Drosophila melanogaster: one gene and its partner. The gene in region 1 interacts genetically with each later gene. Each region holds a gene or a part of one and is shown on either strand. Other genes may lie near its edges.

Region 1 (5,065 bases):
TTCAGCCAACTGCAGTAAAGCGTAATTGTTTTTTTTTTTTGTCGTTTTTTGTTCTTTATCAGACTAGCAAGAACAGCGAATTACGCGACTGCCTGTCGATGGTGAAACGTATTAAGTTGAAGTTTTACGGCGTAGTCGGGAACTTTAATAAAAACGAAATTCAAGGAGAAGGGGAATTAAATTGCACACAAGGAACTTACTCTGAAGTGCACAACGCCTTGTACAAACAAATGTTTCAGTTTAAGTTGGTAAAGTTTTAATAGAAATAATATCATAATAACATATAAAGTTATTATTATCTATAAGGTCTATATCGAAATCTTTTAAAACATCTAATGTAAAATTTTAATACTAAAGCTAAGCGGTTAATAGTAAATATTCCCCGTAGAGTATCTTTGAAATGGAGCTATACTGTTAATAACTGGTTTACTAATCCGACTACAACTAAGTAGACGAACATTACACGCCATATTAGATGAGTTGGATAACCAATCTATCAACTGCGTGCTTATCCTAAATAGATCCTGGTTCTTCGCTTTTCCGAAGATAATCTACGCAGACCTGAGCTGCCCCGTTCTGCACCCTTTCAAGACTGAGGCGCTGAAGCTGATCAGTGGCTCTTGATTATGGGGGTCGCAACATTAGCGATCGGTGGTCTGCACTTGGCGAGGGGGCGTGGCCGGGCTGCAGTTGCCGCTCCTCGCCTTCTGCATATTTAGCAGTGCTGCTCATGATAATGCGTGAGTTCTCATATATTTATATTGAAAACATTATGCTTTGTGCGGTTGCAGCAGCTAAGTACACAAAATTATCAGAAATTATGTGCACCTTGGGACAGGCAGATTCCGATCTCCCCCAGCGAACAGCCGGAGGGGCCGCCGTCATCGTCATCATCATCAGCATGACCGTTCATCATCATCTCCATCAACTGTTTGGCTACTGTAATTTCACGGTAACCTGCCCCGACATGCATAATGCAAATCAATTTGAGGCTATCGGGCGGCAAAGGGGGAATTCACCGCCCTTCATTTCATCCGAGGGCCAAGTCAAAAGTCAATGGCGATGGCAATTTGTCAACAAAGTGGCCACCGGATCATTAATAATCGAATCTGGGGTATTCAAGACCAGTAGCTACGGAGATTGATGGATCGTCAGCGGGTGGCGCCACAAGGTGGCAAGCTGGTAAGTGGTAAGTGCAGCCAATCGCATTGATTGAAATCTTTCAGTAATAACAGAGCACCCAAGAACCCGCTCCACAAACATTCCGCCTCCCGCTGTGCATTTATATCTGAATCTGTATCCGTATCCGTATCTGTATCTTGGGATTCGGATCGGTATTGGTTTGTGGGATTGGACTGGGGCTTGGACTCACCTCTTGCCGTTGCGTCGCCTTCGCTTGGTGGCGTAGACGGTGCCCAGCTGGCTCATTGCTAGGGCGGAGTTCGTTATGGTCGCCGTCGTGAATGATTTTAACTCTTATTATTTTTCGTATCAATATTTCGTTGTTGTCTTCTGCTGCCTTCTGCTCGTCTGTCGTACAGGTTGTTTCCTCGTCGTGGCTTTCTTATTTCGCTTTTTTTCCTTTTGTAATTGGTTTTTATTTATTGATTTGGCTTGCTCTGGGTACACACTCTCACACACACGGACTCGCACACAGACACAGCCAGGAGCTGAGTGCGATCAGATCCGCTGAGATCCTGCTGCGGTTTTCGGTTTCGGAGTTGTAGCCACGCGTAAATTTCGTTTTTTTCTTCTTTGTATTTATTTTTAATTATCATCACGCTTACATTTTGTTTGCTTTTTCATTTCTCGCGCTCCTTTTGTTTTTGTTTTTTATTTTTTTGTGTATATTGCACTGTAGTTTCAGTTGGTTAGAGCTAAATGAGGGATTTAATGCGAAACTGTGATTCAGCAATTGAGAAAGGCTGGGAATTTTGATTTTTTTTTTCATTCGATTGTGGGTTGTATGATTTTCTAAGGCGATAACTTCGGTTCAACCTAATAGATTTTTTAAGTAATTAGTCCCGACGGAGAATGATTTCAGTTTATCTAAAATAAATCCAATTAGTTTAAGTTGGCAATGTCATGGAGCCGTTGTCTAATACGATTTGATTTTGCCTTGCATTGTAGAATAGTATAATATGATATTAAGGCTTTACTTTATTTTGAAAATTATATTTTGGTAAATTTTGAAAATATATTATTCATAAAAAGAATATATTTAAATTTGTTTCAATTTTTTCTCACAAAGGACTAAAAAAGTATAACAGATTATGTTAGCAAGTTATTAAACATCAGAGTCAACCAATAGTGTTGATTAATTTGAATGGCACATTCTAGTCAGAAAACTGTAAAAATCCCTCAATCCTTTTTCAATTGCTTTCAAAAACGAGTTGTTGTTTGTGTTGTTTTGTTTTGATTCGAGTGGCTGCGATTTGCAGGTTATTGTTTTGGTTCTTTCGTGGCAACACTTTTGCTTTTTCACTTGCACTTTTGCCGTTTGTGTTGGTAGTGTTGTTGCTCGTGGGCTCTGGTTTATCAATGGGCGATGTTTGCGATGACGACGCATGCAACAGAGGAAATCAAAATCGGCACGGAACCAAAAGCGCTAACGCAAGAACGGCACGCAAATCATTTTCATTTTGCGGCACGATCGACGTCGACGTAGGCAGATCCGCCGGCAGAGCAACCAGAGGCGAGTTGTCAAAGTGACATTTTTCAGGCACGCACACACACACGCGCGCGTGGGTGTGTTGGAATAGTAAAATAGATAGAAGTGAATGACCGCCGGCGGTCTGCAATTCGCACACGTGACTCCTCGAAGCCTTTACAGAACCTCCAGTTACAGGGTATCGCGTGCTGCGTTTCGCTTTTGTTTCTGTTTTCGCCTCTATTGTTGTTGTATTGCCTTATTCGGGGGACACTCACGCACACACAAACACGCACGCACCTTTTAGCGGGATTCTGGCGACGGCGAAACAACCGTTAGGAGGGAGCAGCGACTGCAACTGCACGCGAGCGCCAGAAGCGAGTGAATGAATGAACAACAGTGCCAAAAAAACGGACAAACGGGCATTTGAAACGAGGCACAAAGGCGATGGAGCGCGCTCTCTCACTCGCACTCGGCGCGGTGCTCTAAGTCGCTATCTCTCACTCGCACTCTTTCAAACGTGACTCTGCTGCGCTGCGGCCACGTAAACGCTTTGAGATTCCAACAAGAACTGAGCGGCGCCACGAAACGAATGGAAAAACCAGTCCTGGCGGAACACACTGGCCATGGAACACGCGGGCGGCGTGTTTGGGGCCACTTCCAGTCGTCCTGGCAACGAGCGATCGCCAAGCGACGCGGTCGCGTGGGAGTGAGACAGAGCGAACGATGTTCCACTACCAACCGTTCCAGCGTCGCCATACGTGCGACTGGAAGGGAGCGACCAACCAAGTCGGTCTTGGAAGTGCTGCAGCTATCTCGTTCGCACCCTGTAGTTTCGTTATAGGGGGCGTGTTCGCACACACATACTACACTGACAGCCTAGTAGCGCCGACTCTTTCCAGCGCACTACCAACTGGAAATAGAAATTCGGGGCACATCGCTCATCTCTTAATTAATTAGGCGGTAATTAAGAGCTATCAGTGTTATCGCTCAATGGCATCTATCCGCCATACTCTTCTCCTATTTCAAACTTATCTGAGCCGGATTTTACCTCGTTTTGCCACTGAAATGCAAATTTTATTTGGTGTGACCAAAACCATTAAGGCCATAAACATGAGCACTCACTTCGCGCTTATCGCGAATGATTTATTCACATGTGCCACCTGACAACCGCAAAAGAACAAGGAGAACGAAATGCACACCGCTGCCCTGCACAAAACCAGAAATCATATTCCTACACCTAGACGGGCAAAATGTCCGTGCCCAAGAACCCGATTGGACAGTGTACGAGGCCCCTTTATCCCATGGCCCATATGCTGCGTCCGTCTTTGACCGCATGTCACAGATGGCGATGGAGATGCACTCGTCAAAGGTACAGTTGGCACTCATAAAGAAGTTTTTAATAAGTAATTGTAATTAACTTTAATAACAATCTATACAAGCTATTCATTTTGTAATTAATATGATTACTGTGATTTACCAAATAATTTTATGTTTATTTTTAAAAGTTGGCGAAATGTTACGTTATGAACTTTTTCCTTTGAAAACGTGTTGCATACTTGGTGGCGCTGGAAAGCCACAATATTCGAGCCCTTTCAATCATGCAGCCCATTGTAGTTCATTTGTGTGGTTTCCTAATTTGATTACTTACGTCCACTCTAATAAAACATTATTATTGTTATCGAATGACCACTGTAGAATGCCTTCAATTTCGAAAAAGCATTTTTCTTTTATTGTGACGTCAGCCATGTACGAAATTGTTGGCACTGTATTTGTATTGCGTGCAACTATTCAATGCCAAGTCAGAAGGCTGAAGAAAACAATATTTCCTCAGCTAGAATCTCCAGCAGTCTGGTGTCTCACTCAAATCTCGCTGCGTAAACTAAGGACAACAGCAGCTCCGAAGACAGCAGGATCAGAAGAATCGGGAGAATCAGAAGAGGATCCACTCCGAAGAATGAGCAAAACAGAAGGCAGCGCATGTCAATCGGTGGCACTAATAAGTGAGCTGAGTCGAGTGGAGTGGAGTGAAGTGTAGCAAAGTGGAAGGGCTTGCAACCAGTTTTGGTGCGTTGCAACTTTTTCCAGCTTGCAGCTTATCAATTTACGCTTCCACTTCGTAAGAGAAGTGCACAGTGCAGGTGCTTATTCCACCTCCCTCTAAATATTCTTATTTTGCACTGCCTTTCCTCTTCTTGCATTATCGCTTTAAAGTACAGTCATCAATTGATCTTTAAAATTGAGGGCCAATATTATGACCTTACACCTAATACTGTAAAAAATAGCAAAATATATATAAGAACTGAATGGATTTTTTAAATGTGCTTAATAATTATTTTCTCATTATTAACTAAAAAAATACATACAAAATATACACAATCCCACTGTATATGATAAATATTTATTCTGGGGTTT
Region 2 (4,729 bases), on another chromosome or scaffold:
TTTTTTGAACTACCATTTGCTGCGAGCACTACTTTTTTATTAACATAAAATTTGCACCAACGAATCAATCGCGCTCGCTCTCGCACTCTCCGTCACTCTATCTCCCTCTCGCACGCGCTCTCCGCAGCTTGCGCAGAAAGTTTTTTGGGCGATTTCTCCATGTGTGTATATGCTGCTCTGCTTGCTGTTGCTGCCTTTACATATTTCATATTTACATACGCCTATACATACTGCAGCACAGCTATAATTTTTCACCGATTTTCCCAACCGATATGTTTAATTGCCAACCGCAGCGGATTTCCAACTATATTTTCTTCTTATTGTTTTCGCTTTTCACTGGGCTTACGTATGTATGCATGTGCGTGAATTGGAGTACTTCTTTTTAGTAACAGTAAAAATGAGAGGGCGAGAAAGAGAGAGCACTGGATGAGCTCGTTTTTCATTATTTCGCATTTAAAATGTGTAACTCTGTCTTTTAATTCATTTATTTAACAACGCGCACACATACACAAAAACACACACACACACAAAGCAGGAGCAGACGCAACAAAATGTAGCATTTTTCTTTGTATTAATTTTGCACTGTTTTAAATGACATTTACTTTTGCTGCTTGTTCGCAAATTTTTTTGCGTATATTTGTGCTTTTTCCGATTGGGCGTTTTTTTACAATTAAGCAGATATATTCACAACAATTGACATTTCCAAAAACAAACGACGGCGACGGCGAAAAAATTAAGAGACAGTGTGACCGTGGAGCAATCCGATAAATATACTCTCTGTGCCAACTCTAAAACTCCACATAAAATACCAACGTATATAAATGCATATAACGAAAATATTAGCTTTTTGAATTTGCAACTCTGGGGTTTTAATTTATGGCGGATTTCTTGAAAACGGTAATATTGACAAAACTTTAAATGTTCGTATTGTTTTCTTTATTCAAAATTTTAATTTTTCAAATTTTTTTGTGTATCGACATTGTGGATCATTAATAGTTTTAAATTAACAGGAATTCTAGGAAAACCTACAATTTGGTAAGCTAGAGCTAAGAATCGATTCTTTTATTCATATTGGTTGGGCAACATCTTTCGGTGCAGCTAATCCACATGCAGGCATCTGTATTGCCTGGTAGCCTTGAATTTCTTTGATAATCTTATCCTCCTGGCTGTCCAAGGCGACAAAGACCAAGAAGAAATCGTAGTGCGTTTCGATGTCCCGCGCACTAACCACGACGCACCAATCCATCAGGGCCTCGGTTATCTTATCTGTAGCCTTGTCCGCACTGGAAACGTCCGGATTCCAGTGGGAATCCTCTTCATCCTCTGATGTTGGATATATGACATAGGTTCTGTAGCACTTGTGCCGCTCCATGTGTGAAGTGCATCCATGTTATTTGACCAAGCTCGATTCTGGAGAAGACATTCCAGACTTTGCCGCGACTGCGCTTCTTGTTGAATTGCCGGACTCCGGCGTTCAATTGGGCCTTGATATTGTCCTGGCTGTAGGAAAGCCATCGAAACTTTACCCATTTAAATAAAAAGATTCTACTGATTCAATATACAATAGTCAACTCAATTGAGTTTATCGATAGACTGTTTACTATGGGTAATCGGAATCGCTAGTCATATGAGAATTTTAGGTTTTAAACTAAAAGAAAATATTCAAAAAACATAAGAAACAAATAAAATTCAAAAAAAATTAAACTTACAATCAAGTTCTTTTTAAGAAAATCAGTGGCTGTTTACACCACCTTACACTTTTCGCACCGTGCTAGCGCTTGTTTACCAACACAGTTTTGTGCGTGACTGAATTTTCGTGAGTTTGTATTTGTGTACATTTTGTAATTTGGGTTTGTTTTCTTCTTGGCAAACCGAATTACCACCGCAAATCGAACAACCGATACACCACGATGCATGTTGAAAAGAAATCAGAGCTTCGTAGCCTACTAAAATCCGGGGACAAGCGTTGCAAACTCGTTGAGCCCAGGAACACCAAAAGCTGCGTCTGGAGGTTTTTCAATCTCGTCCAGTGCGACGACCACATAGAGCCGTACGCCTGCTGCAAAACCTGTGGCGATCTGTTATCCTACAGCGGCAAAACTGGAACCGGATCCCTGCTACGGCACCGATGTCTCCACTCCAGCAGCAGTAACGGTAAGTTCGGGATCCGAAATCTCACGCACGCCCTTCACAATCGAAATCCACTGCCACGCGTGCTCCGTGCCGTAGAAACCGAGCACGGATCAGTGCCCGATGCCATCGCGATAAATCCACGGGTCATCGGTACAGGCTCCTCCACTTTGGCGCGGAAAAAGTAGAAACTCTAGTTATAGCAAGGCAGTAAATCGTCTTGAAAAAAAAAACTATAGATAAAAATAGTGCAGGATAGGTACAGAATTTTCCCCAACCAGTGGTTGTGCTTGTAAATAGTTTATAAACCTATTGTATATTATCTAAAATGCTATTAAAAAATCAGCTAAAAAATATTGTTATGTTAAAAGTATTTTTATGATTTTGCGCTGTTGTAAAGTATGTAAACATTCTCTTATTTTCGTTTTTCACCTCTGTTTGCCGTTGCCTTTGTTTCCACTCTTATGTTCATGCGTTTTACAACACTGCAACGGCACTTGACAACACTGACTACAGCAACGCCAATATCGCAATAAATAAATTTGTGGAGAAAAATCACTTTTGACGTACTAATTACCTAGAGAAAAGTATTAAAAATGCCCAAGGGTCGTGTTAGCAATGTGTGGCAGCACTACGATATTAACGAGGAGTGCGAAAACTTTGCGATATGCCGTTATTGCGGCAACAATATATCGCGTGGTGGCATGGCCAGCAATTTGAAGGGCAACAATACGACCAATTTGTGGACGCATCTGCGGCACAAGCACAGGGACGAGGTGCTGGTCAGTCCGGTGCAGCAACGTCCCCAGGCCCGGATGATCCCAATCATCAAGAAAGGTAATTCCAGCGAAGTTCGTATGGCGGGCTATCGACCCTTGGGTCGGCGGGAAACTATCGCCGGCGCCCATCTCTGGGTTATGATATTTTTGTTATTATCCGGTAGCTGTACCAATATGTATCGTATTAACCATCGCTTCCATCCTTTGCATTGCAGACAAAACCGTGCGGATTACCAAGGCCAAGACGCTGAGGGAGCCGCTGCGTGTGGCCAAGCCGAAGATCGAGTCGAACGTCGCCAATTATCTGGGCGAGGCGGGCGCCCTGCCGCAAAAGTGGGAGGAGTACGAGCAGAACGATGAGATTAGCGAGGACATTAAGGACATCATATACAGCGAGGATCCACTGTGCTATAGTCCTATACACGTGATGGATGATGAGGGCCTGGATCAGCCTGAGAAGCAAGTGACCGTGCTAACCCATTCGACTTCACCAGCCGGTGGAAGTAGCAGGCCCATCGGTGTTGGTTCGGGCGTACAGGCTACTGTGGTGGCCTCCACGTCCTCCAGCAGCAGCTCGGCCAAGCAGCTGAAGAACAACCTGGAGACGTCCATCGAACGGCTGACCGCTGTCAGCGAACAGCTCAGCTACATCATACAACAGAATCACGAGGAGCTCACCAAGGACGACGACTACTATTTTGCACTTAGCTTGGTGCCCGCAATGCGCCACCTTTCGCTCAGTCGGAAGATGTACGTGCGGTCCAAGATCCAGGATATACTGTTCAAGGAAAGTGAGGACTCAACGCTTGCCAAGGATGAGTAGGCGGTCCATTATATACATTTACCCAGAGGAATAATAAAACGAGGAACGAAGGAAACCATATGGTAAATGGGCAAATCAGCGTGTCGTAATCTAGGTTAATAATTATACATATGTTATGTATTCATTTAAATTATGCTCTTTTATCGATTGAAAATACTTACTTTGATTGTATATTTCCCAATTATATTTTACTTAAAACTCAAATAAAGCACTACAATAAATTAAGGAAAAGGCGATTTCATGGTGTATTACGTTTATTTTAAATAAATTTTATTTAAATAACTTGTTAAGATTTACAAAACAGAGAGCGTTGCTAGATTGTTATTATAAATTATTGTATTGTAATTTACAAATCGATTTTGCGGCTAAGTTCTGCTGTTTATGCGTTTCTTATAGAGATATGCTTGTATTGGCCGCTCCCCAATTGCGTAGCCAGCCATTTCGTTTTTCTCTTCAATATTTTGTAGATCTAGGAGTGCAAGCGTACATTATCATACAATACGAATACAAATTACAGTAAAACTCCTACAAATCGAGCAATAAACAATAAACTTAAGCCTATATATATATATATATAGTATGCTAGGCTTAGATTCTAGTCAACAAATCGGTAGTTTATCAAACACTGACTTGAATAGCGAAATGTATGTATGTCTAATTTGATGATTTGGTTGTTGATATAGGTAAGTGGTTCGCTCAAAATGAATTTTGAATTGTGGATATGATGGGCATTATACAAATATGTTCGCTTAGGGTGGATATTAGGACTAAGTGCACGATATGTTTGCCAAAAGTTTGGTATAAATTTGTTGTAATATTACGCGTAGATATGCTGCAAATCTGGCTTTTTGTATATCTATGTAGGTATATAACATTTTGATTTCGGTTCTCTCGACTGGCAGAGTGTATTTCCAAGACTTTCCTTTCATTATTTATTTATTTATTTTTTCGATATTAATCCAAGAAAGTATCGTATACAAGCATTTAGTTAATTATG

The links.
Region 2: of ss (region 1) and BEAF-32, changing one suppresses a phenotype caused by changing the other (phenotypic suppression), as found in Drosophila melanogaster (one study listed by BioGRID).

What each region holds. Positions count from the first base shown.
Region 1 is NT_033777.3:16,400,468-16,405,532, forward strand, and holds the start of ss (spineless), read right to left. Parts: upstream 3,224-5,065; 5' UTR 2,951-3,223; exon of another isoform or gene 2,929-2,950; intron 1,878-2,928; 5' UTR 1,429-1,877; coding exon 1,373-1,428; intron 1-1,372.
Region 2 is NT_033778.4:14,768,676-14,773,404, forward strand, and holds BEAF-32 (boundary element-associated factor of 32kD), read left to right. Parts: upstream 1-1,793; 5' UTR 1,794-1,910; coding exon 1,911-2,154; exon of another isoform or gene 2,155-2,726; coding exon of another isoform or gene 2,727-2,967; intron 2,968-3,124; coding exon 3,125-3,732; 3' UTR 3,733-3,955; downstream 3,956-4,729.